Linked DNA regions of Drosophila melanogaster. The protein of the gene in region 2 interacts with the protein of the main gene of each other region in a pairwise test. Each region holds a gene or a part of one and is shown on either strand. Other genes may lie near its edges.

Evidence for each region.
Region 1: the proteins of sa (region 2) and CG2082 interact in a two-hybrid assay, tested with the Drosophila melanogaster proteins (one large-scale study listed by BioGRID).

The regions. Positions count from the first base shown.
Region 1 is NT_033777.3:5,762,238-5,779,078, forward strand, and holds the start of CG2082 (uncharacterized protein), read right to left. Parts: upstream 9,662-16,841; 5' UTR 9,465-9,661; coding exon 9,393-9,464; intron 519-9,392; coding exon 468-518; intron 384-467; coding exon 320-383; intron 264-319; coding exon 1-263.
Region 2 is NT_037436.4:21,397,506-21,413,070, forward strand, and holds sa (spermatocyte arrest), read right to left. Parts: upstream 9,234-15,565; 5' UTR 9,192-9,233; coding exon 9,077-9,191; intron 9,014-9,076; coding exon 8,435-9,013; intron 8,140-8,434; coding exon 8,006-8,139; 3' UTR 7,920-8,005; downstream 1-7,919.

The DNA.
Region 1 (16,841 bases), on a different chromosome or scaffold from region 2:
CACCCGGCTGGGATGGGCCAGTCCGAAGCGGGCCAGGACATTGGCTCCGGCACCCTCGCCTAGGCCGATCACGTACTTTACGTGCAGGTAGTCCAGCACGGTGACCAGGTCCTCGCCCAGGGACTGGAGCGAGGGAAACGGAAAGCCGTCAGCCAGGGCCTCCGCGTTGTCCGCGTGCCCCGGCACGTCCACGTGGATGAAGCAGGAGCGCTCCTTGATCTCCGTCATGCAGGGACTGCTCACGAACTCCTGGAATGAGTTGTCTGGGGACATGACCAGGATTAGTCAATTAGTCCAACCGGGAGCTACTACTACTTACGGTTGCAGCCCAGGTCGTGAACCGTTATGAACACGGCGCGTTTCTCCTGCTGTGACAGGTCGCCCTAAATCACAAGAAAATCACAAGAATGGAGTGTAGAGGTTAAGGTGATGCTCCTTGAAGAGGACACGGTCCGAACCCAACTCACCTGCACTATGACCGTCAGATCCCCGCATTTCTCTGTGCTGATATTGTATTTCTGCAAGAGTAATCGAAGGTAATCGAAATTGTGAATAAATTGAAGTGTGTGTCCGGAATGCGGTTATTTGTTAGAGGGAAACTTGAAAACTTCGAAAAAAGGCAAAATCATTTTCACGTTGCCATAAACACAAACTCAAGCGTGAAAAATGACGGGCATGAAATGACCAAAAAATGTGAAATGTTTTTCTCTGCATTTGACTTTGTGAGCGCTTGCTTTTGGCAGGTCCTTGATGTCCTGGCAGCCACCTTGTGTCCCTGGCCCGCAAATATCAAGCCCATACTCCTCGTCCTGCCCTGTGTAAATTTGGATTCGAATTTGAATTTGAATTCCTCGCCCAGGCATGGTGAATATGTGCGTGTGCATTTCATAAATACCCACCCACTCGTGCAACGCAATTCGAAATTTAAGGAAAACCCACCAAACTGTTGAATATTTTAAAGCTCAGGGGTATTTTTAGCCTTAAAAACTCTGTTCTAAACTGAATTCCATGCTCTATTGACCGAATTCAATTTGAAGTTTAGGAATTTTAAAGTGCCTGGGTTAGCTAACAACAAACATGACCTTTCTTTTGGGTGGTTCATGTATTATTTAAGCTTAAGTCATACTTTTCCATGCGGACGGAATAATAAGTAGTGACGAAGCACACATCTTGTTTAAGCCCAATGCTCCGTTTAGATATTCCAAAAATATGATACCATTAAGATCTAGGTCAAAATGGCAGGTTTTAACAGGTCGATATAAAAAGTAGTTTTATTACTTTTGGAAAAACATCGAGATCTCTATGTCCATACGAACAACTAGATAGCCTTGTCCAGATCGACTCGGATACCTGATCAAGAATAGATATATAAATTTTATCAGCTTGGAAACGGTTTTTCCTACCTTCACTTTTTATTAACAAACAACTTTGATAGGTATATTATTTATTAATTAGCCACTTTAAATTCTTGCGTGCTCGAATTAAATAAGAGCTATTATTCAGCTTGTACTTTAATCTTGCGTTAAGCTCAAAGTATCGATTTGTGTAACTCAAGCTGTGTGTGAAAGGTGCTATTTTAAAGGTTGCTATTTTGATGTTTAATGAAAGAAGAGCTTAGCTTCTGCTCTGTTCGAGGTTCTTTATTTGAATAATCAAAGTGTGCTGAAGTTGGGTTCAGCTAACCCGCACATACATTGCTTATATCTATGCATTCTTACTTACATTTATACATATACATATGTATGCAGAAGGCATTGACCACTTGAGCGGCAAAGTGCATGCTCAGCATTCCCACGCTCCGCGATCGGCTTATGTATAAGCGTTAGATCGTATTACTGGGGCGCTGGAGTGCTTACGTAGTTTTTGGTGGTCTTTTTTGTATATTTGTATATTTATATTTATTATGACAAAGTGTCACAATGTATTGACGCTATGTTATACCCAATCATTTATGGTATTTTTAGGGTAGATTAGTCCAATATGCTACATGTGGAGGACCCCATCACAAAATGTTCGATTTGCGGAGGGAAGTGTATTGTGTTTGGCCTATCACTTTCAGGCGCCTCTGCCTTGCCAGAGCCCATTTCGGAATTTATTAAGGCGTAAAGCAAATAAGCCTGCGAAGCACCTCGAATTGATACGGGAGCATCGGCAGTCTCCTTTGTCCTGCGAGTCCTGGGCATGCCAACCCACACGAAGCCGCCAGGTTCGAATAGCACAACCATGGCACGTCCATCGAACACTTATTGAAATTGAGCGAAACTATACAAGTGTCAAAAGACCAACAGGGCCAAGAACCTCTTCCGGCCAAGAATTTTCCTAAGCCCCTTAATGTCCATTTGGTTTAAGCGAAAGCTTCAGACCACCCGCTCATTTGGGGGTGCTGTGCAAGCCAGTAAATAGATAAATAAACGGAATGGGTATTATGTAAATGCATTTGTGAGTCGTCGTTTCACCTGCGGCCATGCCAATAAAAAGTTTTCCATTCAAATTAGGCGCATAAATAAATCACTCAAATTGGCTATTTATGTAACTGCGCTCCGTTTACCAGCTGACAGAGCTAATCTTTCCGCCCAAGGACAATGCAAAATGCAAAGCCAGGATGCAGCTGGCTGCATCGCACGCGAATCCATCGACAAGCTGGGGAGGATTGGCCACCGTGCTTGGATAAGGCGACTGCATAATGGACAATAAACAAGCAGACGGCTTGCTCCCCGTCACGAATCAATTGGCATTAATTGAGTGTGAGTGGGTTGGTCAGGACGGGGGAACGTAAGGATTGGACTCATGTTTCTGCCAAGGACAAAGCAGAGCGCAATGGGAACCTTTCCCGCTTTAAAAAATAATCGTGCTAACTTTTATTGATTGGAAAAAACATCTCATGAGCAGAGCAGCATCCTATAGTCGAGGAATTCGACTTCCGAACTGTGTACAATTCACATCGTAAAGTATATCTCGAGGGCGTGGGAAATTTATTTACTTGATGCATTCCACGAATGACTGCGACAAAGTGTTGACAATTGGTGACGAAGACGAAGAGGAGGAACTGGGAGCCAGGACCTGGGCAATTGCAGGGATACTGACGAACTAACGATGAGGCAAGTGTAGCCTTTTGTGCACCTGTCCGTCCATCAGAGTGTTCAAATATAGTATATATATACATGCCATGGAAAACGCTTATAAATAATGAAATTGCCAATAAATGGCACGCCCTCAACACAAAGTGAAAGTGGAAAGTGGAAAGGTGGGCGGAGTTGCGATTGGGATTGGGATTGGGTTTGGACGGATCTGGATGGTGCCACCTGTGACGAACTGCATGGCTGCTTGGCTGGCTGCACTTTACGACCTTCCGAAGCCCATCCATTTACCTTCCCCCAGCGGAATCCTTGACATTTGACCTCACTTATATCCCATGGATCACGGATGACGGATGTAGTGCGGTTGGCTCCGGCAGAATTTTCACTCACTAACAGTCGAATGCCTTTGATACTCTGACGTACACCCAGCAAAATGAAACTTTAAAGAATGATGTGTGGTATGTATGTATGTAAATTCCAAGGCTGAAGACTTTATACTTTGAAATTCTTCTTCAGATTCCTTGATTTTCAAAGAAACGTAATGAGCATATATACATGTTTTCTGTCTAATTAAATAATACCGATAAAAGTATGGGGTTATAGCGTTCTTTTATACCAAAAAACACGTGGTTCGATCAGTCCAATCAGTCCGACTTTCGTAGGCCAACGATATGGGATAAAGTTGATGCGACAGCCAACTGAAGTTTTTATTCACTCTCGAGTTTTTTCTTTTCAATTGAAAGGCGAAAATGTTTACTCGTTTTGCGTCAGAAAAACTTTTTGGCCGCTTGCATGTGGCTCTTGGCATTGCCAGAGTCATCAGTCAATTAAAAAGTCATTTGGCTCAATCGTTTGATTTACGTGAAAAAGTCTAGCTCGCCCGCCCTTCCTCCGGTTTTCAGTCTGCGCTCGTCGCACTTTAATTGACTTGTGATTGGGTCAATACTTGCACTCTGCCTTGTTTTTGCTGCCATGTGCATCTGGATTCTTAATTGAGACACACGACTATATAGTTGTCATGTCTTTGACTAGATTTTCCTGTGACGGAAACACGTATGTATGAGAGATGATGTTGACTTTCAAGGAACAAGTTGGGGTCAGTTCTTCAATTGGCAACAGTCATCAGCTAGCTAATGAATTCGTATTTTTGAGGTAAGCAATTTTAATACCCGTTACTGGTAAAGACACTATAAAGTTCATATAATCTTGAGAAAGATTGTCAGTCCGTATGTCTGTCCGTATAAACTTCTAGATCTCGGGAACCAATAAATCCAGAAAGTTGACGACTACGCTGTGTAAGTTGTTCCAAAATCTTGCCACTCCCATTCTCACCGCCCAAAAATAGTTTTTTTTTGTAGAACATCAATACTTTGAAATGCTCTACAATGTCAGTCGAGGTATTCTTTAAACCGCACACACAAGAATGTATTTTCCCGTTGCCAAATAACCTACTTGTTTGCCATCAACAAAATAGAGCAGTACAATTTTGCGAGACACGAATTGCATTTTCATGTCCGCAAAGTTTGGTTTTCATTATGAGCATTTTCCGGGCATCTGTTTGAATATCACTAGCAGATGCAGATATATGCGTTTCAGTTTTGCATCGTAGAAGGAAACCGTATGTGAAGTGTGCCCAAAACGATGTCCTGAATGCCTGGAAAACATGCATAAAACTGTATCACTTGCTCTCCGCAGGATAACAAAAGCGAATGGGGTCCTTCCAGAAGTGTGGGTGAGTGGGTGGAAGTCCTCCAAAGCTGAGGCGCTGCCCCAAGCCAAAGCTGAATGCTGCAGCTTGCCGGGATGTCGCTGTACTGAACTCATTGACCTCCTTGCTGTTGCTTTTCCGTGTTGCCATAGCTCTTGGTCGCTCATGTATCTCCTCCACATCCTCGTATCGCTTTTTTCCTGCCGGCTGACTGCGCTTTCACGTTGCCGTTCAGCCTCGATCCCGATTCTTGATTCCTGTGAACCCGTGAACCCAAACCCGTGCCCCCTCGGCAATCCCATTTGCCCCGATTCCCCTCTAATGTCGCAGTCATGTGGCAGCGACCTAAGTGCCCATTACACACGGCAGCCCCGTATCCATCATATCAAAACGCTTCCTATCCCTTCCCTTCCCAGGACTCACATCCTTGTGTTAGCGTTTGCAGGAGCCGTCATTCCGTCGGGTTCAGTCTGCAGGATTGCTGATGGATTTCACAGTTGACGGCTTGATGCCTGATACACTCTGTTCCGCAAAACGATGTGTGGTTTTTAAGCTTATTTTGAAATTTCTCCCTCGCACTCCCATTATTTCAGAATGGGGTATCTAACCTTACATTTAATAAGATTGAGTACATATTTGTGTGATTACATTAAAATTCGTTTGAATATTGATCTATTATCTTCTGACTGTTTCTAATCTGCTAAACGAATCAGAAATATCCTTTGAGCTGCTCCAAGAGCAAAAACGAAAGGCAAACAACAAACGTTTGCCAATTACAATATATTTTATCCAAGAACGAGAAAACTTGCTGTAGCCAGAAGTTGTCATCTGGTTGCTTGTTCAAAAAATCGTTAAACGCAAGTCGAAAAGTTTGTAAGATTGAAATGGCTAAAAGTTCGCACCTCAGCACTCCATCCATCAGCATGCAGGCTAAATGTCTTGTGCTTGTTTAATTGCCCATCAGAGGTATACACCATCATTGGAAACTAGTGTTTCGCCAGCCAGGTGGATATAGGTCACCATTTATCTCTGATCCCCCACTGCCCACCACACGGCTCATCAGGGTTTCAACTCATCAGCGTGGATCGGGTAAAACAAAGCCGGGACCTAGTTAAGGACTCTCGAGAGAGAGCCAAGTCTGCTGCAGAAGTATTCGCCACTTGAACAGAAAGTTTATTTAACAAAGTGCCTGCCATTGAATTAAGGCCACAGGCCCGTCCTCCGGAACCCAATCCCCTATTTTCTCCGCTAATCAGCATTTTCCTCGCCGGACACGCCTAACTCAATCGGTGGGACTGCTCCCCGGGCTTAATTTATTGCATTCGCATTCCTTCAGTCCGTTTCCCAGTTTGTTGATGGGCGGACGGACAGAAGGTCCAGGTCCCGTCTTGGCCACTTCATTTTGGCCAAAAGCGAATTCAAGTGTAAATGGATTTTGTCTAATAACCGCACTTGCACCGTAGCACTTTGGGGATGCCCCCAACGCCCCAAAATCCCCAGCTCTGAGGATTTTATTGGTATTTGGTTAAGTGCTGTCATGTGTCGTCCTGGGGGTGGATTGCCCACATAGATATGCCTCCTTCTCGCCCGGCTCATTCTGTTGATGCTATTCCTCACTTTTTGCCGTCCTTTTCCTGGCCAGCATGCGTAATGGTAATGTAGATTTAATTATCGGATATGGGCCGCCTCTGGTCCCTCGTACTTGTGCCATTTCCGAGTTCATTCTATTAACAACGCATTAATCTCAATTAATATTCCGAATACCCAGTGGCGGGCGAAATGTTTCAATTAGCAATTGCCTGGATTGAATTCTGCAGGTGCATTGTGCAGGCCACATAATTGATATGATATTTAATTTCCCAGCTGATTTGGCACAGCAAATCCTGCTAATGTACACAAATTCGAGTCTGTATCCATAGTAATCATCGGTGGACTGTGCCATTGTGCAGTGCATTATAATTGGGACATAGTTACATATTTATTCTGCCCTAGTAGTCCGATTCAAAGATTGGTGGCAGGTGGATTTTCGGAGACTAAAACATTCAGTTGCCATATGTAGATGTGAACCATTTAATGGCTCTTCTAGACCAAGTAGAATTTGCCTATCTAGTTGAAATGCAATTAAATCCAGAGCGAAAAGTCACAGTCAGCATTTTGGAATTGGAATCGTTTTGACTTCTCGTGCAGGACCTTTTTGCCAGGCATTATCTAAGAGGAGCACAAGTTGGCCGCACTTTGACGTATACTTGATGGGATTTTTATGCCCCGACACTTTTCCAACAGCCTGCGGATGCCGTTATGAGGGCGGTGAAAATCTGGGTAAAAGTGTTTGAATTTATGGAAAACCTTGCAGGGGGAGGGGTGGGGGTCGGTTGCATAAAGGCAAAAGCCCCCAAGTGATGCGAAAAGTTGTGCAAACAAAATTCCAGCACACTTTTCTGGCGAAGCGACCGCATTGCCAGGGAATTTTTAATAGACACAAACAAATCACGCGGGCATGTAGGCCGGTGCTTAAAGCCACCAATTAAATGTTCTTTAAGTTTGCGCCCGCAGCCGCAGGGGGCAACGGGGCGTATGAGCAACCTTGCCTTGCAAACTTTGACACTTTGCCGGTGGCAAAGTTCTTACGCCACCGTTTCCCACTCACTTAACAATGCATAGAGGAAAAAATATGAAAAAAAAATTGAAATAAAAGGAGAAACGCGTGTTTTTCGATGCCTTCGAAGTCAACAAGTTTTCGTCTTGTGGACAGGGGACACGCCAGATGCTCCGGCGAAAACAAACTCGGAGGATGAAGAAACTTGGCTGGGCGGAACAAAGAACGCAAACTTGACCGAAAAGGACTTATATCCTGAAGTGTGAGTGTGGGCCAGCACAAATTATGGGAAGTTTCTTCAAGGCGGCCAATGGAAGACCCGCGGGCAGAATGTCGAAGGAAAATGGAAAAAGTCGTGGGAATAGTGGTATAGGTCTGGCCCGGTCTGCAGTATCATGTATAATGCATACCCCTATATGGACAGCCGACTCCCCATTATGCTTTTCCCTAGTTAAATTCCATCGCATTCAGATTCCGCTTGAGGGGATGAGCGAGCCCTGCGGAAAACTGGGAAACAAAGCGAGTCGGACAGGAATACAGCCATATATCGCAGAGATTTACTCCAGCAAAGCCCTTTAGTCAGCATATTTGGATTGAGATTGCAATGCAGGACAAGAGGGTGTGCACCATGTGGTCGGGGTGGAAGTGGCGCAGCTCACATTGTGGTCAGGATTTAATGAGCTCAGTCGAAAAGGAAAATGGGGAAATTATGAGCCAGCCACGAGGGCCAAAAGCGAATAAGTGAAAAAATGCTACATAGCAAATATTTATAAAGATTTAATTTTTATATTCCAGTTATTAGTTTTCTCCGCAAATTATCAAATAACATGTAGCATTTCAACAATAAATTAACCATATTTCAATGAAGTGGGTGCATTCACTTTAACTTTCAACTTGGATATGTTCCTTTATTTCCGTTTAGAGTCCGCACCACTTTGTCGCCATATAATTAGCTGCCTAATAAAAGAGGGAAATAGCAGGCCAATAAGACCGAACGAACACCATAATTTTGCCCATTTGAGCACCTAGATTCGTTTTGGCCCACTCTACGCAGTTGCTGTGTGCCAGATGCGACCGCAAATGGCACGTAAAAAGAAACATGCAGTTCCAGGCTAATGGTTGAGTCGCCCCCATTCCAATAGCCACATCAACAGGACCACACAAAGAGTCGCACAAACAACGACATGCAGAACGACAATTATGCAATTTTTATGAGGCGCAAGACAGAAAGTATGCTATGCCCTTTGAGCCCAGTTCACTGGGCACCGAGGGCCAAAAAAATAAAAAGCAAACAGCACCCAACTACAAAAGGTAACCCCGTGCCAAAAGGGGAATTCGAGGTCACCAGCATATGTTTCTACAATATATTCTGTATTCTGTTTTCTCTATTCGATCGCGGTGGCTTAGTCTGGCTTAGCATTTCGCGCTCACCTTTTTTAATTGAAGGAAGTAAAGGGGATGAATTTTAGGTAGACTAATTCCACAAAGCCCTCGAACTGTCACGAAATTAGTTGATTACATTTTCAACACCTTACGTTTTTTTGATAGTATAATTTTCCATTTACGTGCTATTTAGCCCTTTTCATGTGGAAGAAAAACTAATAGCTTTTTCGTGGTACAAGTGCTCAGAAATATTTCATAATTTCTTAATTTAGGTAGGTTTTTAAATATTATTCAGAACAACTTGGTCTTATAGCAAACTAATTCACTCGTCTGCAATTTCATCACTAATTTCCGTGCAAATATTTATCCCGACTTTTTTGAAAGATTATACCACTCAGACACTTGAGATGTTAACAGAAGTAGTCGCTCGCACTTGCAGCTCGGCGTGTTACGAATATTACGTATACGCACAGAGAGAATTCTAGAAAAGCGCATTAACGCACTTGACGGACGGGAGTGATGTGGAACATGATATTATGGTGTTCTGATGCTCTGCATCCCAAATCAGCCAGGATGCACTTTTCGAAAAGCTGTCCTCCTGGCGGTAAACTGCTATGTCGGAACTCACGCTAATCTTCTCGGGGGCAGCAGCTGCTGAGGATGAGCCGGCGCCGTGCTTGGGGGTTCCCGGCTTCGACATGGTGTGGGATTCGGGCGACGGTAGCTTCACTTCACTGGGTTGCTCAAAGGAACTGCGGGACACACAAGCGTGGCTCGAACGGGGCTCTATCAGGCGCACAGCAGCACTCGAGGATGGAAACCGAAATCGGATGCGAATCGGGCGGAACCGCGTTTCTGAACGAATGCGCAATCTTCGAACGCCTGGCGACGACTGGGAAAACTGGCTTATCATGGGAAAATGCTACGCCATCGCCATCGCCGGCGTGAAAAGCCGATCTTTTCCGAGGCGAAACGAAGCTGAGCGAAACGGGGAGCAAAACAAACTGATGATGAGTGAAATGGCCAAGTGAAATCGCCTTCTGCCCACTCGCTCCCCCTCTACCGTTGTCTCTCTCGCTCTCGCAGTGATGCTGCCGGGGAAAAAGAGGCGGTTGGGGGTGGGCCAAGTGTTGAAATGTTGCCGTAGGGCAGTTTGTTGGGAAGGTGTTGCACAGAGCGTGGCCAGATGGTTGCCCACCAACTACGCATTACGAAATTCGACTCCCAACTGAGTTTTGTGTTGAAAAGTATTAAATTTATATCACATTTATATCACATTTAGATATTGTGTTTCTGGTCCTTTGACTTTGTATGCGTCAATAGTAGTTTCTGGAATCTTCAATGCATTACGATTACTTAAAATATGCATCTAGACAAATATGCTACCTATAAAACCTAGCTAAATACAGCTTATGAACTATTTATTTGTTTGTGGTGTAATTTTATAGTATTTTTAGCTTTGGCAAAGAGTGATTCTAGATACCAACCAGAAAATATAAATATTTCTCATTCTCATTTGTTTACGTCAAGCAATCCCAAATATTTCAATTACCTCTAAAGAACGTAATTGCAGTTTAAAATTCAAGGGAACATTCACATATACGTTTCTTTCCATCTGGCAACGCTCGCACTGCAACATGCACGCACACACGCGCACCTACAGCTTCTGCCGAGAAAATTCCGTTGCCTACTTTTGGGCGCGCTTAGTTTGGCGCCCACTCACGTTCGTCGCTGTAAGAGTGTGTGTGTGTGTTTCTGCTGGCCTGCGTTTGTGTGGGTGTCTTGCGTGGGTTTATGTAAAAATCCTTTTTGTCTTACTTTGTTTTCGGTGGCATTGTTGAGCAGACTCTTTATTGTCGGCGGGCTCTCGCCTTTGCAGCCCTTCTTCTCTTGTTGCTCTAAGCCTTTTTGGCCTTTTTGTTTTGATGTGCTAATTTGTCAGCGCGCGGGAAATGCGCAAATCCGTCTCCCCGGACGACCCGGGCACCCCAATTCCGCCCACTTCTCTGGCGAAATGCGCATTAGAAATATGCGTGTCCTAGGTCAAGCCGGCTGCGGTTATGCCACGAGGGGCTGTGCCTGTGGGTGGGGGCGTGGCCGCCGGGTCGAAATTTCTGATATGGATATGGAAAAAGGGTCACAGAGCATAGGTGCAGAGGTGCGGTGCGGCCGGTACGGTGATATGATGGAATGGATTACTATTATGTGCTGACATCGAAGGCCATCCCCTTCGCAACTACCGATGATGCAGCTCGAAAATGCTGGCTGGCCAAAGTGAAAGTAATTTAAAGTTGGATGAGAAAAGCGCAAAATGTTGAAGCCAATTAGGGGTAAACCAAAAATATTGGATGAACTGAAGGCTTGGATACTTGATACTCCATGCGATTTTAAATTCTTTCGATTTACAAGAGCACAGAAAGAAAAACCGTTGAAGATATTTTAAAAATTTCAAAAGGTTGTTTCATTTCAGTTAAATGAACCATATTAAATGTATGTTTTACGAGAGCAATTCGCTGATCTTCTCAAAATTTGCATGCATTTCCGCCAAGGCCATAAGCAGATATGTGTCATAATTTTTTGTGTTTCAATTTCGACACGTGCTTTAATTAAACAAATGGGGATGATGATGATGACTGAAAGCGCATAAAGCCGCCAGTCAGACAAAGGAATTAAGCAAAAGGCGGGCGAAGGAACAGCGCTGCATGCACATAAACGACGAGCAACGAACAAACACCATTGTCAGCCACAATTATCCAGGCAGGTGCTTCGAACCCACAACAAAATCCGCCAAGGAGGTGGATTTATGGGCGGGCAGGCGTTGGCCCAGGAAGGTGAATGGGCACCTGGGGAATATACGCCTTTTTCGAGCGGTTAGCGGATGATGTGGGTGTGGCAAACAATGGCTGAATGGGATCCCAGTGGAGAGCGGGGAGGGGGGTGGTGCTAAAACTAGGGTGGCTGCAATTGATAGTGTGTAAGCCGATTGCTCAAGGCGGCAAAAGCTGCGGAGCATGGGTTCAGGCGGATCCAAGTAGTTGGCTGAGTAGCTGGGTAACTGGGTAGCTGGGTAGCTGGGTAGCTGGGTAGCTGGGTATCTGAGTATCTGGGGAGTTGGCAAAGCGCAAATATCCCATTTATGTCAATTCGCAAAGTTAAGCGTGAAAGTAGGAACTCAACTTCAAGGTTTTCCCCCAAACAGACGCTAAATTCCAAGAGATAAACAACGACTTGTCGGCAGTCAGCGAAACAGGAAGCAATGGCTCTTGGTAAACAAATCCAATCAATTTTTTCGGTGCCTTTGGTGCCTTGGAGCTTGGGCAAAAGCCATCATAGGGGTTCTGTTCTTCAATGGGTTAAAATATAAAAACAAACTCAAGCACTTTGTGTAAATTGTCGAGCCAAAAAGGGAATATAAGCACATGAATTTTGATACACAATTTATTCTTATATCGTATTTTACTAATTAGACTAATGGAAAAGACCTAACGTTTTGAATTTGGATATATTTGGATATATTAAAGAGCCCACTAAATATTTGCAACAGTTTAAATCCCGTCCTACATTTACAGGAGCATCCTGTTCCCCCTTGGAACCACCCGCACCAGCAGGATCAGCCCGGAACACTTAAGCCCAAATGGCAACACAAACACACGTCCTGGAAAAACCAACAGCCGAAGGATGACAACGGCGACACTTGAGCAAATGCGTTTGCCGAATCTTCCTTTATGCCTCCTGCCTCCTGCCACGCCCCTTGAGCCGCGCCCCTGCCCTGCAAAGTGGCAGGCAATCTTCGGAAATTCCTCCGCAACGATATAATGTATACGCTCGATATTTACGCATTTATTTATGCCGCTCTTTATTGGCTTTTTATCGTTCATTTATTTTGCTCGTTATGTTCGCGTCGTCGTAGTCGCGAACTCACGCCACCCAACTTATTTGCCCAGCTATTTTTGGACTCACGAGCGGAACGATAGGAGTGTACACGACATGGAATAAATGCATGCGTTGGCCCAGCGGACGGAGGATGGGGGGAAGATGGGCATGGCTTATGCGAACATCGATCATCCGCCAGTGAAAGGTCGTTCGAATGGAATGCAAATGAAGCTTTGGTCACCGAAATTCCCGCGCTGATTGATAAGCGCCATCATCAGCATCATTACCGCCATTATCATCCGCTTCCACTCGTCCCAAATTGATATGCAAAGTGTAAGCAAAGTCCGTGTTACTAACACCTGGTCCCGAATCCCCCACCACCACTGCGCCCTCTTGGCAGGCGAATCACCTAGCTCGGGTTCCACCCTCCGCCACCCTCCACCTTCCATTCCGAACCGAAATTTAATTAACATTTTTAATTCCTCCACTTGGCGCGGCCAAAGAAAGCCCTTCCACCACTTTCCTTGGCGGAGGGGGGGGGGGTATATTATTAATAGATTCAGCTAAAAAAAAAACAGTCTAATTAGAAGCTTAGTCGTTCCACAAACGAGGATCTAATGTCTCTTTCCTGAGGAGAAAGTGAGTTTAAACACAAAATGGGTATTCAAATTTGAAATCAAATACTTAGCAATATACTTAGATGTTTTGAGAAATCAATTTAAAATCAATCAGTATATGGTAACTAATTTTATTAAAGCAGCATAAAAAGCCATGCATTTATGATATCACAAGATATAATTAAAATAGGCTTATGGTGTTTAACCTCATATCAAATGTATGTACACAATAAAATGAATATTCTTTCAAAAGTGTCACTTTAATTCGTTTTTATTTCCCATTCATTGCCTTTAGACCACCCAATTTCTCTCTCTTTACTCTTGGTATTCGATGTATGGATGTGCAGAAATCATTTTGAAATGGATCGTCTGTCCAATGAACCCGGTCTTTCCAGTGAGTGTGCCGTGCCCTGGTCAGTCCGCTCACTTAAAGCTGCAGTGTGGATGCCATTATATGGACGTCTTTCCCTACTCCCATGCAACTCTTTGCCTTCTTCCCATTGCCCCCGACTGTCTTCACTTCTCCCAACCGCTGACAAATTCGCTTGGGGCTACTCTGCTAAAATTCCATTGAGTCCCCATACAATCCCATACAGAAGCATAAGCACTGCCACTGCTACATCCACGATGACCGCGCAGTTTTGGGGGCTATTTGCATGGGGACACCTATTTTTAGCTAGACAGTGGAGCAATGACTCTTTTATGCCCCGCGAGTGCGAATATGCCATTGGTAGCAAGCCGAACTGATTTTGATCGTTCTTGTGCCCTATAAGGATCAGGATCATCCAATCTAGGTTTCTTTAATACTAAAGAGCTGTATGCTCCGTGGTGACCTGTGCCACCTACGAGTATAGCCTTAGTTTGTTCTGCCGGCCAAAAGGCCATTCCAACTACTGAAGAACATACATACTCGTACATGGATTTGAGACCACCGAGAGCTGCCCTTCAGAAACACACACACATTTGTGCGGCGGGTGTAACCATGCCCATAGGAGGCAATCGGTCTTGTGATAGGGAACACTTCCGACGACCTTGATCCGAGCACAATTTGGCCCCACTCATTAAGGCGATGTGCACAACGTACGCGAGTGTTTCAGATTAATTAAAGCAGTCGGGCCAAGCCAAACAGCGTCACCATCAGCCGAGAAATACCGACTGGCTGTCTGAGCCCCGCCACCCACGGCCATTGGTACCTAATCAGATATGTATGTATATCGATGCTACTGGGAATTTGACTGTGCCTGGGACTGTTGTTTCTACTGGGAAAGTGTCATGGCATGGGTGAAACACATTTAACGCCTCGAGCCATAAATTACGAGCCGTGCCAGCAGCAGTGCTGACAACATAAATCTGAATTAGTGGCAAGCGGGGCAGCAAGCAACAAACAAAACCGAGTATCGATCTCACGATCCGTGGTCACTTAATGCCGGTACCTCGTAAATGGTATTCATAACTCTCACCCGCTCCACCAGGGATTCGGCGCGGCGCGCGAAGGAGGCGCGTTTATCGGCAATGGACATGGTTGGACTGGGGCTCTGGATGCGGTTCAGGATCGGTGACTGGGACTGGGCTATCCGGAAGATACTGGGAACCGACAAGTCACGCGGGGGTGTAGGTATCACCGGGGAACGCAGCTGAAATGAAAAGAGGCAGAACTTTAAACAGGCTGTTATCTATCTAAGGCACACGATCGATATGGTTTTAAGTCTGTAATAACTAAGCAAATATCGCACGGCACACGCTAAGTCGAATCATATGCAAATACAGTGGACATCAACAAGACCCAATACCAATACCAAATACTAGTTGCTAGTGCAAGTACAATCTATGCAGGAGCCATCTTGCTAGCCGAATTCCTTTTATTTCTATTCTTAGGGTTAACCAATTGGTTTATAGTTCATATAGCATTATTTGCCAAAAAAAAAAAATATATATATATATAATGGCAACATTCGAGGTGGAGGTCCCGGCCCCAAAAGTCATGAAATCTGCCGCGTATGTGTTTTCATTTTTGGCGAAAACAAAGAAAGACTCGGCGATGAAATGCAATTAATATGCAAGTGCCACTCATTGTGATGGTACTATTCTGGTCTATTACCTTATGGACCGAATCGCAATTATGGCGCAACTTCAACTTTGGACTCGAAAGTGTCAGCCACCGAGCTCAGCATAAATATTCGAGCGGAAATTATCAACAACTGACATTAAAATCGGAGCGGGAAAGACGCGACTTTCGGCCGGAGACGATCGCATGCGATGAAAACGCGTCCAAGTCGGAGGAATACCGCCGTAGAACTGATGACACACCCGGGCCGAATGCTCGACTTTTGTAGCGTAGCGAGCATAAAGAGAGTGCGTTGAAATGGGAAATTCATTATTTTATTTTTAAACGTCGTCGCCCTCTCTATTTTCGCAGATTGGCTTTTCCTCGCTTGTTTCTTGTTTCGTGGCAGATTGATTTATGGATTTCGGTGCAACAGGTGCTGGCCAGTTGACAGAGCGCCGAAAGTCCGCCGGACACACCCACTGCTTCCAATCTGGAAAACTGATTGGGACACAAAGCTGCATCCAATTTGCATAATCCCATCAAAGAGCACTTGCACCCAATTATGATAATTTCGGCTTGACGCACTAGGCATTATTGGCTTCGAAAAATTGGAACTGCAGTTCAAATTCAAAAACAAGGTACGGAGAAACTAAAACAAGAGGGAACGCTACAGGCGAGTTCCCCGACTATTAGATACTCCTTTCTCTGCTAGTGAAAGTTCAAACATGAATTTCAACATTTTCTGACATAGCAATAAAACTAAATTAATCTCTCTTATATATGTAGTTCCTGAGATCTCGACGTGCATACGGACGGACATGGCCAGTTCGATTCGGCTAGTGTTCCTTACCAATATATGCTTTATTGGCTCGAAAAACACTTCCTTTCACCTGATACATATTCGTTGAAAAAGGAATCTAGAATACTTCTTTTTTAATCTACGAGTAATATTTTTCATCGCGACCCGTTCATTAATCATTAATCATTACTAAATCTTACTAGTTCTGCCATTTGGTCTATAAGACATATTGGAATTGGAATGCAATTCAATTCATTTTAGTCTAGCGTTTGTACTTTTAGTAGAAATAATTCTCATATGGATGGAAGATTTCAATCGGAGTATTAAAACCAGCCCTCATTTTCTAAAATCGTGCAAAAAAGATATGAAAATTAAAGTATTAAGTGCCATTAATGCCATTAAGAATAGGTTTGGTTTTATTTTTCACCAGCCCACTTTTCAGATTAGCAATGCTAAACTCTCAGCATTACCTTTAAAAAATCGTTCTCATTTGCGACTAGTTCGAATATCTATCTACATTCTGCCGAAACTAACTAGAGAAAAACTGAAGTTCTACGTATGTAAGTATAACACATTTATTCTACACAGCATTAGCGAGGTTACACACCTAGCGAAGTCATCCTCCCAATTAAAATTTCCCTAAGCGGAGCTAGTCACCACGACCACATTGCCACTTTATTAAAACTAATAACTGTTTAATAACTGTAATAGAATAAGTTAAAATAATTAAATAATATGACT
Region 2 (15,565 bases):
GCGATCATTAAAAGCCAAAAAAAAACACTTAAAGACTGTGCATTAAAGTTTCTGCTGACACATAGACAAGATGAATAAATCTAGAAATATATTTCATTTGATTCTAGATGAGCAACTCAAATGTGGCATGATATGTATATTGTTTAATCTATTTCTTTTTCCATTTCGTCAGTTTCTATTTTCAGTTTATGTTTTCAATTTTCACTCGTTTCAAAAAACATTAAAGCGCCAAATAATTAGATACATACAGTGTGCAGAATGTACATTAATTTAAATTCTTTCTTTTTTGGCACTACAAACCGCAAACATTCTAGCCACTATAAATACAGTTTTCAGATAAGCCTTAAGGCTTTTCGCCATAATTTAGTGGGCTAATTGGTTCACACTTTTATTTTCCGCTGTAGTTTTCCTCAATTTTGGGGTAAACATTTGTATTTGTTTTCTGCTCTTTGTGAGAAACGAGAAGCGTGCCAATTTTCTTGGCAACTTTCCTCTGTATTTTTAGATGTAAATTAGTCATACCCAACGCAATTCGAGACTCAGACGCTTTCCATTTAAAAATATTTAAAAGAGATAGAAGGGCAAAGCAAACACTTGTTGCGAAAGGCTTCCCTCGAACCTAATTGAAAATTAATTGTTTCTTCAGATACTTTCGGCTGTTTTCGAGGCTATTCAGCTGGTTTTCCCAAGAATGCTGGGAATTATTCAAAATTTATGCCAACTGTCATTCCTTAGGCCTTCGTTTGTGTGTCACAGTTTCTCTTGCTTACTTTTAATTTATTTACATCAAAAGTTTTTTGATTTTATTGTTGCTTTCTCGTGTTTATGCTTCGATTTTATTTCGCCGTTGTAATTTTTCCGGGGAATTTTAGTTTTGGTTTTATTGCCGAGCATTGATACATTATATTGGCTGAATGATTGATGATTAAGCGGCTTGCTGAAATGCAGAAACATGAACTACATCAAGAAATACAAAATCCCGAATTGAACATTTATCTGTTCTGCAGACCATGGCCATTATTTTGAAGTACAACTTTTTGCTTTCCACATTTATTCAAAATTATGCGACACCTGAGATTAAAGTGGATAAGTTGTCACAAGAATTCCAGCAGCTGTCAAATAAGTTGGAAAATATGTCAACTGCATGTGCGAGGCTCTGAATTCGGATGCCTGTGAATTTGCCAACATGATTGATGTTTTTTGCCGGATGACATACGGTGATCGAAAAAGAACATTTCCATTTATTCAAGAGTACACGTATGTATGGTAGTTTTTATTTTTATTGGCCAACCGTGTGGAGAACTTTAATACTTTGAAGAACAATTGGATTTGGTTGCGTTTAATTTGCAAAATTGATGGCATTCGACGTTTACTTTGTACAATCAACAGGCTCAATGCAATTTTAATGCGTTAACCGAATTAAATAGGCCAGCTCGAAAATGATTCAATTAATCTGCGTATAAAAAATGCATTTTCCATTTATTTAAACACTCGGCGCAAATGGGAAATGCACAAATACCGACCACAACAAAAGGTCGAGCGCAATTATCCGAGCCATAAATATATATCCAATTCAGGGACAGATGCCGTGACATCCAGCAAAGATGTAACACAGGGCGTATAAATAAATAATATTCGAGAACAAAATCCATTTTCCGGAACAAATGAAGCGGCTGAGGGGGAAAAGTGCCTGAAAATACATTTTCAAGTTCAGGCCAATGGAATCGACTCGAAAATAGCAACGGCCAAAGGTCATGGGGCATTCCAATGCCAAAACGGGTGGTTAAGTAGTTGGGTGGGTGGTTTTCGGTTGTATTTGGGCTGGGTCATGTTCATCTGTTCACCGCCGAGCGCCAACGGTAAAATTCCCCTTGGAGTGCACCGCAAATTGAATGCAAATTCGTAAACGTGCCATCCCACGTGTGGCAAGCAGTTGAGCACTGGTTTTTGGGCGGCGCAACAAATGGGTGGAAGTGGGTGGTAGTGGGTGGTAGTGGGTGGTAGTGGGTGGTATTGAGTGGTAGTGGGTGGTGCCTGGTGGAGGTGGCTGGAGATTAGTGCTTCATTGAGAGGTGCTGGCTCAACTAGTCAACTGTCTGGGAGACTTGGGGAATTGTTTTGAGAGTAACAATAAAATAAGTTGAATGCAATGCATCCAAAGTTTTCCCCTTTTTACAAAAAAAAAACAACATTTTAAAGCATTCACGCAAAATATTTAATACACTTTTTGTTTAATTTCATACATTTTGAATGAAATACTTTAAAGCTCTGACCACCTTTACGGAAAGCACTGGTCTTTATGTTAGGAAGTCAATTAAATGTTTCAGCAACAAGACTGAAAATATACATAGTATGTATTTATTTAACTACCTAATTTTTTTGTTCAAGCTTTTAATACTTTTTATTTGTTGCCACACAAAAATATAAAGATTGGTGCTTTGATTTTCTCCAACTTTTAAAATTATGCAAAGAATACAGAATGCACTTGGCAGTCATTCCATCGTCTTGTGAATCGATTGCATCAACTAATCCTCCGTCCCCAGAGTTTCCCCAACCTTTCTCCATTTTAGAAATGAAAGTTTGTGCTGACCCGAAATGCATTTTCCACTTGGAAACTGTCCGTTCAATGGATGTGTTTGCGGATATTTTTAAATGATTCAAATTTATGACCTGTTGCTGGCATTATTTTCATGCCGATGACAGGCCTCCCTGTTGATGTTGTTTTGTATTCTGGTTATGGTTGTTGCTTTGGCGGGCCTAGTCTTGACAAGATAAAGCGGCAGCCATATGGAAAATATTTCAAAGAAAGATTGCCAAATGCTGATAAGAGCCGCACTGAATCCGACCGCCACGAACTCCACGAAACCATTTCAAATTGATTAGAGAGGGAGCGAGTGGGCCGAAGGCGGCAGAAAGAGACGGGAGCATGGAGCCAACGGAGCATCGTCTGCGATAAACATTTAAGATAGCATCGAGCCATTAAAGACTCAGATCGCAGGGGCCAACTCAGGGGGGTCCCAAAACAGCCAAATCCCCTGAGATTTTATAACAGGAATTATTTTATTGAACATTACATCATTGACATTATTTATTCTCTGGGAAACTTGATTAAGAATGCTGACATCTAATTGTTCTAGACCCAAAACTGGCCACAACCTAGCAAGCTTTTAAGGAAACCCTTAATATTTATAATAAACACATAGAATAATAAGCGGGTTTCAAGTTACATTGATCTGAAATGAAAAATTACGTTTTTCCGAAACCCCTCTAAAATAATTTCAAACATCGCCTCTGATTACTGCTCCTACTACTTACCGCTATAAATCTTCTGAAGTAATTCGTGGCTTGGGCAGGCTGTCTTTCTGCTCCTGACACAATAAGAAACCGATTTGGCAGATTGCGGAAATTCAGCTTGCCACCTGAAGTGGAACACTTGGGTGACCCTCGAGCGGGAAATCCGAGATGCGCGAAAAGCTGCGCCTGCGCCTTCTGCGCCCTTGCTGTTCGTAGCATGCCCCATTCAGGGCTGCTTAGCCATTATATTCATTATACACTTTGTATGGTACCATAGTAGGGCACTGTCATTGTTCGGCAGCTCCGACATTGTTCCAGACAGCTTGCCGCTTATGGCTTTTGAGTCAACTTTGTTGTGATTATGAAATGATTTCCAGCCACTTTTTGCGTGGCAAATGAACTTGCTTTCATTGCCACGGAGTGCCAGACATCAGAGTACATATCTTTCGGTTTGTGGCTGGGTGAAACTGTTTAGAATGCATAAACAGCATAAAGACAGGCTAATGAGACAGGCTCCCGACGGAAGTCGGGCCAAGAAGATATATCTGTAGGAGACTTGCATTCGCTACCATTCGCTACTTTGACATGCTAAAATATCTGCACGCTGGCACGTTTCTGGCATTATAAACACATTAGGTATTCGCAAAACATTTTCATTTGCCAATGACTGGGCGAGCGGGGCAGCAGGGGGCTCCTCTGCTCTTCCTTTCCAGCAGACAAGGTATATTAATTCAATTCGAAATGCATTTTCGCCGAAATTGCTGCCTTTTGCACCATGAGCGCCGTGAGCGAGGGCCAAAAAAAATTTGCATAATTGCCTGTTGTGAGAGAGGCGAAATCGACAGGTGAACCAGGCAGATGAAGATGTAATTGCATCCTCTTTGGCAAGTTGGCACTGGCGCAATCAAATTCAATCAATTTAATTAAGCCGAAACGGGGGCGTGGCTGCAGCACATTTCGAAATAGAAGAGCAGGCATGGCGTATACGCAATTTGCTTTATTTTTAACACGTTACGCACGTAGAGCGATGCTAAAAATATAATCGCGTATACACTTGTCTTTATATAGCCGCCATAATATCGAGTAACAAACGCGTAGCACACACGCACAAAAGCGGGAAAGTCGGAAAAGTCGTGAAAGGGGGATAAGGGGGAAAAGCTGGCCAGAAAAGGAAGTGAGTTTCCCTAGTGGCCTGGCTACATAATAAAGCGGCCATAAAGCAACAGAACGTGCTAACAACACGTACAAATGGGCCAAAAGGGATGTGGCTTCGGTTCGCACAGTTCTTCTATTTCGGCTGCTGTTTGGCAAACTATTTTTCAGAGAAGTCATTTGATGAAAATTGGTAGGTATGATAAATATGCTGGCTTTTAAAATTTTTACTTTTATTGGTTTTTGGGCCTTTTGGTCACATTTTTATAGGTCACTTTTATATAATAACATTGTGTAATTTGCTTCAAGAGAATGTAATGTAATGTAATGTTACAGAGAATTCCCACCTTTTTTTTTACAAGTGAAACAAAACATTTGTAATAAGTAAGTGGCCCAGATCCGTACAGTTTCTTTGAAACTGTATTCATCGCTGAATATGAGTTCTTTTTTTCGCCACCCGTCATATAAATATTCCAAGTTAAAGTTTTCGAGAAGGTCCCTGACAGTGGATGAGGTTCCGCAGTGGCTTTGGGCCGCAGAAATTTGTAATTCCCAAACGAGGCAAGGGCGCATTCTCATGCTAAACACGAACCAAGAGCGATTTACTGGCACTTTTTCCATATTTCCTTCGCTTTTCCTCCTCCCAACTCCATATTCCCGAGTATGTGTGTCAAAAAGCAGACGACATAAATAACACAAGCCGCAAGAGAAGAAAAGATGCCCAGCAAGAGCAAGAAAATAAAACACGTGAAAAAAAGTTTTTTTTTTCCCTAAGCCGCTTGATAATAAAAATCAAATAAGGCCGTAGCAAGTCGAAGAAATGACTGAAACCGCAATGCAAAAGAAAGTGAGACCGAGAAAAAGGCAGTGGAAAGTACATTTTCACACACGCTTCGCTTAAAGGAGAAAAAAAAAACATGAAAATAAAAGCAAGCGCGTAAATAAATAAGAAGCGTGAACTTGAATTGATTTGCTTAAGAGAGCCTAACGAAACTCCCCCTTGTTTAGGCGCAAAAAAACATCATAATTATAACGAGGTAGCAATTTGTTTGGTTTCGCAGCGCAGGCAGCGGTGCGTATGAGCAATATGCGAGCAAGAAGCATTTTTATGGCACACACGGGCATCAAATTTAAAGCGAATGCCAAGAGAAAAAGGTTAAATGCAGCTGTAAAAATTCAACGACAGTCGCTTGTAGGGCTGTGAAAAAAGATTTATGAAAAATTGGCTTTTGTTGTTATGGCTGTTATGTCGTTGCTGGTACTGTCTGTTGTTGTTGTGGCCTCCTATGCGTCGAGGGGCTGCACAAGTAAACAAGATAACATGGTCGAAACACACACACACACACACTCACTCGAAACGAATCGAAACTTGCACACACTTACACACACGCAGAGAAGAGCCCGCGAACGGAAATGAAAATGTGAACTTTTGACAGAACTCGCCTTTTTGCCATCGCCACACGACCTTCTCCGTTCGTTAGGATATCCGCTTTTTGCCCGGCCACATTTTTATCAACTAGCATAAATAAATCAGAAACTATATGCCCTGAGGTCAAAAAGGTTTATCCGCATGCATGCACAGCGAAAACCGGGTGCTATTATGAAAAATAAAAACCAAATTCGAATTTCCATTAGAAGTGGTTGAGATTTTCTCGGGATCTAAGAAAATAGTGAAAGCGTATTCTTTGCAGCAACTTAAAAACAATGATAGTAACAAAATATCGGTCAATCAGTAATTAGAATAGAATACGAATAGGTTAATTCTAAAAGTGCTTTCTTATGTAGAGCAATATATTTTTCCAGTGGCAAGTAATAAATGTATCATCCTAAAATACCATCTTTCCTGTGGCCTCACAAAGATCTGAAAACATAGAATAGCAAAATATTAATCAAAGCAGCCATAATTTTCATTCTCGTTTTCATGTTGAATTGAATTTTATCTGTAGACCGCAAAATAAACAAAGATGCCAAAGCAATTTTGTGGCCAATGGAAATCACAACAAATACATTGCTGGTTTTTATGCATAGATAAATGCACATTGGCTAACATGGGTTAACTGGGTTAAAATGACAAACGCAATTGGGAACGGCTACAAAAAAAAAGCAGCACATTTTTGTTGGCCTTTCTCGACATGGCTTCTCTTTCTTTCTTTCAGACATGTTTTCCCACATAAATGTAATTTTATTTTTATCGGTCGTTCACAAATTTGTGTACCGTTGTTGCTCATGTTTATGTTTATGCATTTAAATGGCACAGTAACAACAGCAGTCCGAGAAGCCAGAAAAACTCGGAAAATTTGGCAAGTGAAAAGCGGGCTGCAAGCAGCCGGCGATTGCCAGCTGTCTGATCTCTGGCCCCACAAAAGAAAACTGACCCACCCCGACCCTGGCACAATATCAAAGTCAAATTGGGCGTAAAATTCTGATGTTGCCTGTGCCAAATAAAACCATCATCGTCGTCGGCGAAAAACATGGAGACCAATCCGAAGCTGATGACTAAATGATGAGGCTAATGATGGGCAGAAAAGGGCCAGCGTCTCGGAAATGTGGAGCAAGTGCGTCATGTTTCCAGCTCATTAGACTTATTTATTGAATACATTTTTAGATCCAAATTTAACTGGCAAAGCTCTTATGACTTGATTTATTCTGGCTAAAACAAATAACACACAAACGTTTTTGCTCAACGCTCAATGGAATATATAATTAGAAAACAGGTATTTTAAACATATAAAATGTATATTGCAATAGCAGTCAATAAATATTTAGCGTGTTATAAAAAAGGGACATAAATGTTATGGAAAAACTGGTAGGTCTTTAACTACCAACAACAAGTTGACATATAACTCTTGAATGGTTATACCTATCGGAATGTAAAAATCGGCAGTGGCTCTACTTATTGATTATTGCCACGACTCTTCCCCTGTAATTAGTTTTCCAAGTGATTGTGCTCGTTCCCCGGGATTATTAGCTTGTCATCCAGGGAGGTTCCACCCCATCCAAACATCACCCAGCATCTCTAATTGCATTCAATATTCCCCCCTGAATCTTAACCCTTCCAATCGTCAGATAAAATTTCAAGCAACTAAGGGTAGTGCCCTTTAGCGGAAGATAAGAGGAGGAGGCAAATCCCTTGTAATCCCAGCCAGGCGAAGAAATCACAGTCACAATCCTTTGGCTACGGACGCTTTGGACGCAGTGTCGCCCGCTCGATGGCGAGAAAGTTCGGTCGAAAGTTGTTGAAAAATTGCAAACGTTAATCAAAGTTAAGCGTCGCAGAGCAGACGATGCGATGCCGACGTCAAAGTTAATTAAATTACAAAGTTATTTAATACTTTGGAATCGCAGGCGTTCGCCAGAAGCAGCAGGAGGAGCATCTGCTGCTACAGCAGGCGCAGGACCTCTTGCTCCTTCGAACTCTCGCAGCATCATCGCAACGTGTGGCAGTGTTTAATGAAATGTAATTGAAATAAATTAATTTTTTCACACTTTATTCCGTGGAGTAGCTTGGTCTGGCAATGGAAACATTTCGTGTGCTTTTCACCTCTTACTGAGCTGCAGTTTAATTCGGTTTTTCAATACCTAGTCCCCCTGGACTGCAGGGCTCCTCCATTTCCACGTCTTCCTCTTCGAAATTTCCTGAGGATGGGCGTGAACTGTGCAACTTGGGCTTCTCCAAGTAACGGCAGTCGAGGGCTGTCGGGATCAAAGTTGTTAGGACCATGTGAAAGTGATGGCTGCGCAATGAAATAAGCTTGGTCAGGCAAAAGCGATCAAAAGTATTAAATGTTCCACTTTGGTTACTCAGTGCAGTCTCTAAGTTATTTCACAAAATACGTCCGTTTTAGTCCGCGGGATTTAAGGAAAATCAGTTTTCCAGACTTAAACTCTAGGGCCTGTCTCTGCCCTGTCTTACGTAAAATGTCATATAATGGCTGTGTAAAAGCGTTTTATGCACCAATATTACTGGGTATGTATAGTAATTAAATACCTTTGTGGGTTATCACCTCGATGGGAGCATAGATGTCCGTATCAAAGACCTGATTTCTTGGCATCAGGGCGTCCGAATAAGGAAGTTTCTTGGGTGGACCTAGATCCAAAACGTGGCCACTTCCATCGCGTTGGGTTTCTTCGAACAGCGATATATTGGGGTTGCACCTCAGGTAGTATTGATTTAAGGCGTTTTGGGTGTTCAGCTCATTCTCGGCATGGCGATTCCTCATGGCCACATAGCTGCGATCCGTAACCTTCTCAATGGTCGAACTCTTATAGGTGTGCGCCCCTGGAAATGGTGGCAAATGGTCCGGAATATACGTGGTGGAGGCCAATTCCACGGCCTTTGTGGAGCTCAGCACGGGTTGCGGCACACTGTGGAAGTCCTGGTCTTGTGTCTCCGGTGCATTGCACTCAACCAAGACCAACGAATCCGGTTGACCCTCGTACATGGCCTTTAGCTCGCCCACCTTGATGTTCATCCGGATGAAGGTGCGCTCCAGATCGAAGTAGCTGGGTGCACAGCGACCAGCGTGATTGGACCAATTGGTAGTCTGACGTGCAATCTCACGGAATTCTCGAGGAACACATTGATTAACAATACCATTGACATGGTACGAATTTTCTTCTAGCTACTTACTGCCACGCAAAAGTTCCAGCATCGACTGACGCAGTACGTCGTCGACCACCTCACAGTTCTTGGATGCCAGCAAATTGTCCAGCACTGTTGCCAAGACTTCGTCGTAGGTATTCATTTTTGGGCAAATCACTCGATTCGACTGACTGTTAAAACGAAGTGTCACGGACTGGCCGGGCCTTAAGTTTATCGACGATAACTAATTGACATTTGATTTATTTGCTTTAGGATTGCCAAAGTCATTTTTATTAAACATCTGAAGTGTTTATGTAATATTTTAATTATATTTCAAGGAATCCATGTTCTTTTCTAATTTTCAAATTTCCAAAAATTTGCATATATGTTTCCGTATAACAGTTTATAGCATAACAGCCTAAACTGTTTACACAATCTTTCCAAAAGGCTGAGCACTAAAGACCAGCAGCTAAATACCGATTGGGAACTGTCCGCACCACTCCCCTAAAACTAATATATTTATAATAATATATAAATAAATTATAATATTTTCGCCTTTTGCGATCGCGACCTACTGCAAACGACTCGGCGTATAGAGACTCGTATCTTAAGCATCTCTCCTAATGAGTTATGCAAATATTTACAGCCGTATGAATGAATGAATGGGTTCCAAGAAAACCAAAGTGGGAGCCATTGTTTGTCTGATGACAAATTCTCCAGACTCCGTCATAGACTAGCCAAAACGTGAGCTATAATCAGTCATAAGCCGAACAACAACAACAACAACAACAACAACAACAACAAATGGTGCGAAAAGAGAATGGAGAACGGAAAACTGGGGGGAAATGGAAAAATCCAAGCACGAGGTCACTGTGTCAGAGTGGAAAAACTACTTTAGATGCAGACAGATTCGCGTTTGCGACGCCCAAGAGGCTGCTGCAATTGAACAAATTGTACCTCCTTCCAGAGTCCCTCCCCCATCATATCCCCACCACTTTTCTCCACTTTATATTTTTACGATCCCATCATGATGATGTAGATGATGGGGATTATGTTGGCGGTCGTGCATTGTGGGCGTTCCGTGGCTGACATTTGTACAATGAACTCGCCCGTATTTATCTGGGATCTAATGTTTTTGCCTCCAAGCGCTACCGTTTACGGACCACAGAGAAAAAAAATCTCTGCTCAATTGAAAACTGACAACTTGTTGTTTATAAATAATACAATAAAAGATAATAAAGTTCCAAGTCGTTAACGTTAAGTATTCAAATATATATATAGTTTTCAAATTGCGTTACAAAAACTTTAGATACTCGTTGCTTAGCTAATGGAACTGAAAAATAAAAAAGAAAATGAAAAAATAAATAGAAATAAATATGAATATTTCGCCTGGTGACAGTTTCAAGTGGTTTTTTGACCTAGGAGTGGGCGTGGCAAAAATATTTTCGACATATAATAAAATTAAAAATAAAAACATGTTTCAAAATTGCGGGCGTGACAGTTTTGTGCGGTTAGTGGGCGGTAAACTAGGCGTGGAAATCTTGTTCAAGCTTCCTGTGCGTCAATGTTAGTAGAATCTGCGTGCTTTACTTTCTTAACTTTCAATCTTGTATAGTTCCTAAGATCTCCATGTTTATGCGGACGGACAATCCGACATGGTTTGATTGTCCGGCCTAGTAATTCTGATCAGGTCTACAACATATTAAATACATATTTTGAAACGGATATTTAGTGGTATATAGTCTAGAATACGCTTTTACTCTACGATAAACGTCCTTTGATAGTGTATGATAGCTATGATTTCAAGAAGCGCTTTATGATTAAAATACAATTTTTTTCTCTGTTGCAAAGATTAAAAGCAATCGGCTTTTTATGCACTATTTTTTTTTTTTTTTTTTGATTTACCGCAACTGCGGTTGCGCCCATTGTCGCATAAATTCATTCTTAATTAACAAGAATGAGGAGCACATCCCGACATGACGACGACGAGCGATTTGCAGGTTGTTTGCCCAGACGACAAACATAATAATTGCTGCAATTTAGCCACCACCAGCCAAGATTCAAACAGCGGAGTATTTGTATACAAGTACATATACATATGCACATAGGGGAAGTGCAGTCGGCGCAAATTGAGCTGTCTTGGGCTAATTCAAACGATTAATTCGATAAGCTTACAGCTCAAATCGGCAAACAGAAAGACGAACGACAGTTGGACAAACTGGCAGCCAATTGATTGAGCAGTCGATTGCGATTGCTAGGGAAGTCTGTGACCAAAGGCCCGGTGCAAATTGCCGCGTCGGCTGGTTTGGAGTACAAAGCACCACAAATTGTTCCAGTTTCCGAGGCGCAGATAAATCTATTGAGATATCGGGACCCGGTTCCTTCATCCATCGCCTCGTTCCTCATCGCAGATGCACTTTTGCTGGACCGTTAGGCCCACGCAGGCCAAATGCATCTAGGCGAGAAACTGTCTGGATTTCATTGAGCTTGTGGCACGATCTTCTGGAGAACTGTTGCCTCAAAGCAATCACTTGACGGAGGGCGGCATAATCTTTATGGCAGGCCAATGAGGGAACTTTTCGACAGGTTGAGCCACGTCCCGAAATAAACGGATTAGAGGTCAACGGAACTAGCTGAACTAGTTACCTTTGCAAATTACAGTTTTCAAAAATGAAATATTCAGGATTACAGAGTTTAATAGAAATTCAATTAACTAAATACAACTATTTAAAAAATGAAATCTTCATGATTGCAGAGTTTAGTAGAAAGTCAAATAACTAAATAAAATTATTTTGAAAGAAAACCATCTCCTAATTTTCCTAAATTCAAGCGAAAAAAGGACAAAAGAATGTAAATTATCACTGATTGGCTATCTTTTTTTTTTTAAGATAATGAGCACTTAGTTAAGGCCTCTTTACAATCTCCTGGATCGAAGACAATCAAAATCAGGCATTCGCACGACTTTTTGCCGGCCAAACAAATCGCTAATGGCACAATCAATGCCAAATTGCGTAATTAAAGCCAGATGGCGAACGGTTTGGGCCACATTTGATTTTGATCAATGGCCAGCAGTCAGCCTACGGAAGCCAATTTACCAAAGACACAAAGCGCGTTCGTCAACCCGTCAAGTTGTGTTAAATTGTACATTGACTACGGCACTAACAATAACAATTATTGTAAGTTATTATATCGCAAAGGGGAAACGAGTTTGGATGACCAACAGGTGCTACATTCAGCATGCATTTTCGATACTTGGAGTGGGAATGGGGACATCGGTTAACAGCAATCTTTAAATACTTACAAATGGGCCATGTGCAACTAGTGACGGAATCAGTGAGCAAATTTTGATAAATCGCCCTCTTATCTTATCAACCTAAAAAACAGCTTTTGGAATGACTTAAATTAGGTTATAACCATATTTGCTCGAGCCTCTCACTGATTTTTGTGTAACCCATAAAAGTTTTTACACTCGGTTGGGTTTCTGGAATTTTTCAAGTACTCATTGCGAGAAGTTCAAAACTGTGGAAATCATTTTTTGGTCGGGTTTCGTTGTAGTTTTGCTAATAAAAGAGTAGTTGAATTTAAAAAAATATATATATTATATTTTATAACCTGTCTTCGGCAGATTTAATCTTTGAAAACCCACTTGAACAAGAACTAGTTTTAGTCTCTATTTGTACTTCGGCTATTATTAGGCCACTTGCACTTTGCAAGTTCTATAGTTGACTTCTTTGCACTTCGACATTTGTCAGTTGAAAAACTTTTACACAAATAAAAGTTGTTTGCATTTTCCCAACTCCCAACCCAACTCTGACAACGTTTCCTTGTACTTTACTAAACGTGGCTATGCAAATCGAATAGAAGAGATTGGGATAGTCAAACAGACAATGTTGCAATTTAGCCTTTTATGAAGTTGACAAAGTAATTTTGCAGCCAGACTCATTTTCATGTTTTCATGTTCGGCACGGCCCAACTAATCATAGACCAGGTTGGTATATCTTTATATCTGAAATGAAAGCAAACGCGAAGATAGCAATCGAAATGACTTTATTACTCTCAATTGACACAATTTGGAGGCTACGCCTGTTTTTCATTTTTGGTTTGACCAAATTGAAATTTATTGGCGAAACAAAAGGCGAATTATGTCGAACGGAATTTAATAAATTATCAATTCTAGTGAGGCTACATGTGCAAAATTGGGAATTAAAAGCGGTTTGCGAAACTCGTGGCACATTTAATAATTCAATTGTCTTTTCCCGAAACGAGGCAAGCGTCTGACCCGATTTCGATTCGATTTAAATTCAAATCAACTTTTCAAAGCTGGCGGCAAATTTATGCAGTTTCAGGTTCCCCATCTACTACTTTGCGCTCATCCGTTCCAGAAACCACACAAAAATGCAAAATATGTGCTGAAAACTAGAAACCTTCCCAGCATAATTACGCAGTTCGACATTAGTGAAGAGCTTCAGATCCAGCATCGTCAGAATTTTTGGCTAAAACGTAGAAATTTCGAAGGGGATTTTGGCTGTGTGCGAAGAAGTTTCTTACAACTTTCTGTATCGTATGTCGACAAAATAAACATTTTCAGCTGACAGACAACGTCGAAGCCAACGAAGATAAACAAACAAAGCCCCAGAATGCAGTTGCTGAAATTATGAAAGAACTGCCTGATCAAAGGGATGGATAGAATAGTGGGGGTAGCTCGGCATATAGCACATAGTGGGGCAAATGGGGAAATCCTGACATATTCAAGTGGCTGTGATCCGCCATAAATTCCGTTGCAATTATTATTTTTTTGACGCCGAGTGGCTCGAATCGAGGAGTTTTGGATTATTATTCGCCTCTCGAAATGTCAAAATGCTTTGCTCCGAATGGTTTGCATTTTGTGCGTCGATTGAGACAATGTTACGGCAAAGGAAATCTCGTGAAAGTAATCTGCATATTTCCTTTTTGCATCGAGAGCATTTATTGATTATTGCTGTGTTTTGTATTGCAGATTCGCCGATTCGGTTGCAAAGGACTCTTGAGGACGTCTTAACCAATAGGTAATTGTACTAGATGTATTTAACTTTTAACTTTGTTTGTTTAATTGACTTTATTGGGTTAAGAAACAAGAAAATCTGTCAATTAAATGCGACATCTTTAATCTTAGTCTATGATTATATACTATCATAGACTAACCTGATTAGGTGTAATTCTCATAAACAATCCTTTCATCTTCAGTTATTTCTCGAACACAAATTTCACTTCTTCAATGAATTCCCACTTACAAATGTGCAAGGCAATTGTATTATAAATATCACTGGGGAAATGCATGCATATAATTCAACTGTCAACTCGATATGGATGCCATTTCTCCAGTTCATTTGGCTAATGCAATTTGTGCCACCAAAACCCGCCCACTCCAATTTGGTTACACCTCCTGGCCCTCTTGTCAATACTCACCGCACATTTTGCGCAATGCCAGGCGCATATATATAAATATGTGCCTCTCGTAGACGGTTTTCATTTACACTTATTTATATTTATTTCCACACATCGCCTTCGATCGGAGACCCATTTCCAGCATTTATTTATGCTGATTCCATTGGGCACTATCGCCGTGTGCATTTTTTATTGAAAAGGGAGTTGCAACTGCATTTACCACAATAAGTTAGCGATAAGACGATGGAGTGGCATATAAATTAATAAGAGTGCAAAATGGAAAAGTTTATGCCCTCTCACATGGCGCATACGTAATAATTTCCAATGGCACTTTTGTGGCCTTAGAGACACAATTTACCTAATGCCACACGATCAATATTGATACTTGGGCAATATTTGAACAATTTGTTTCAAAGTCACAGACATACGTAGCAAACTGTGTTGGTAGAAAAACCCGTGTGAGTCAAATTGCAGATGATTCAATTCCTCCCGTGGATTGAAAACACACCTATGTATAGCTTAGTCAGCAGAGATTCTAACTCATTCCTCTATTTTACGACCAGAATCAATTTGCATGCCATTTGCTGTGTCAAAGTTTTCTGTATTTACTTATATTTTTTTGCTTTTGACCATATACGTGGCGCTGCCTATGAGAACGTAATTTGATTTTCAGATATCGAGTTTGATTTGTTTGATTTTTGTGGCGATTCCAAATGGCTCGCCTTGACATTTCGTGCTGGAAAAATTTAAATATAGATTAAAAAGCGACAAAAGCGGCTGGCCGATTGGTGTCGAGAGCATCATCATCTGTCGGGCCATTAGTAAAAAAAAAAGCTAATGCCACGCCCACTCTCCGCCCACGCTGCCACTCAATCTATAAATATGCCAGACTTTGCATAGCCGTAAAGTCAACAAAAGGCATCCGTAGAATGGAATAGGATGGGATATGATGATGCAGCAGCTGGCCGGGATGCCAAGGATGATGGTTAAATGGGCAGGGGCTTTTAGGGGGTGTTTTATGGTAGTTCTGGGGATTCAATGTGGCGAAGTTGAATGGTGAGCAACGAGTGCAGCAGACCGGTTGCCTATAAATTACAGTCAAACGGAAATCAT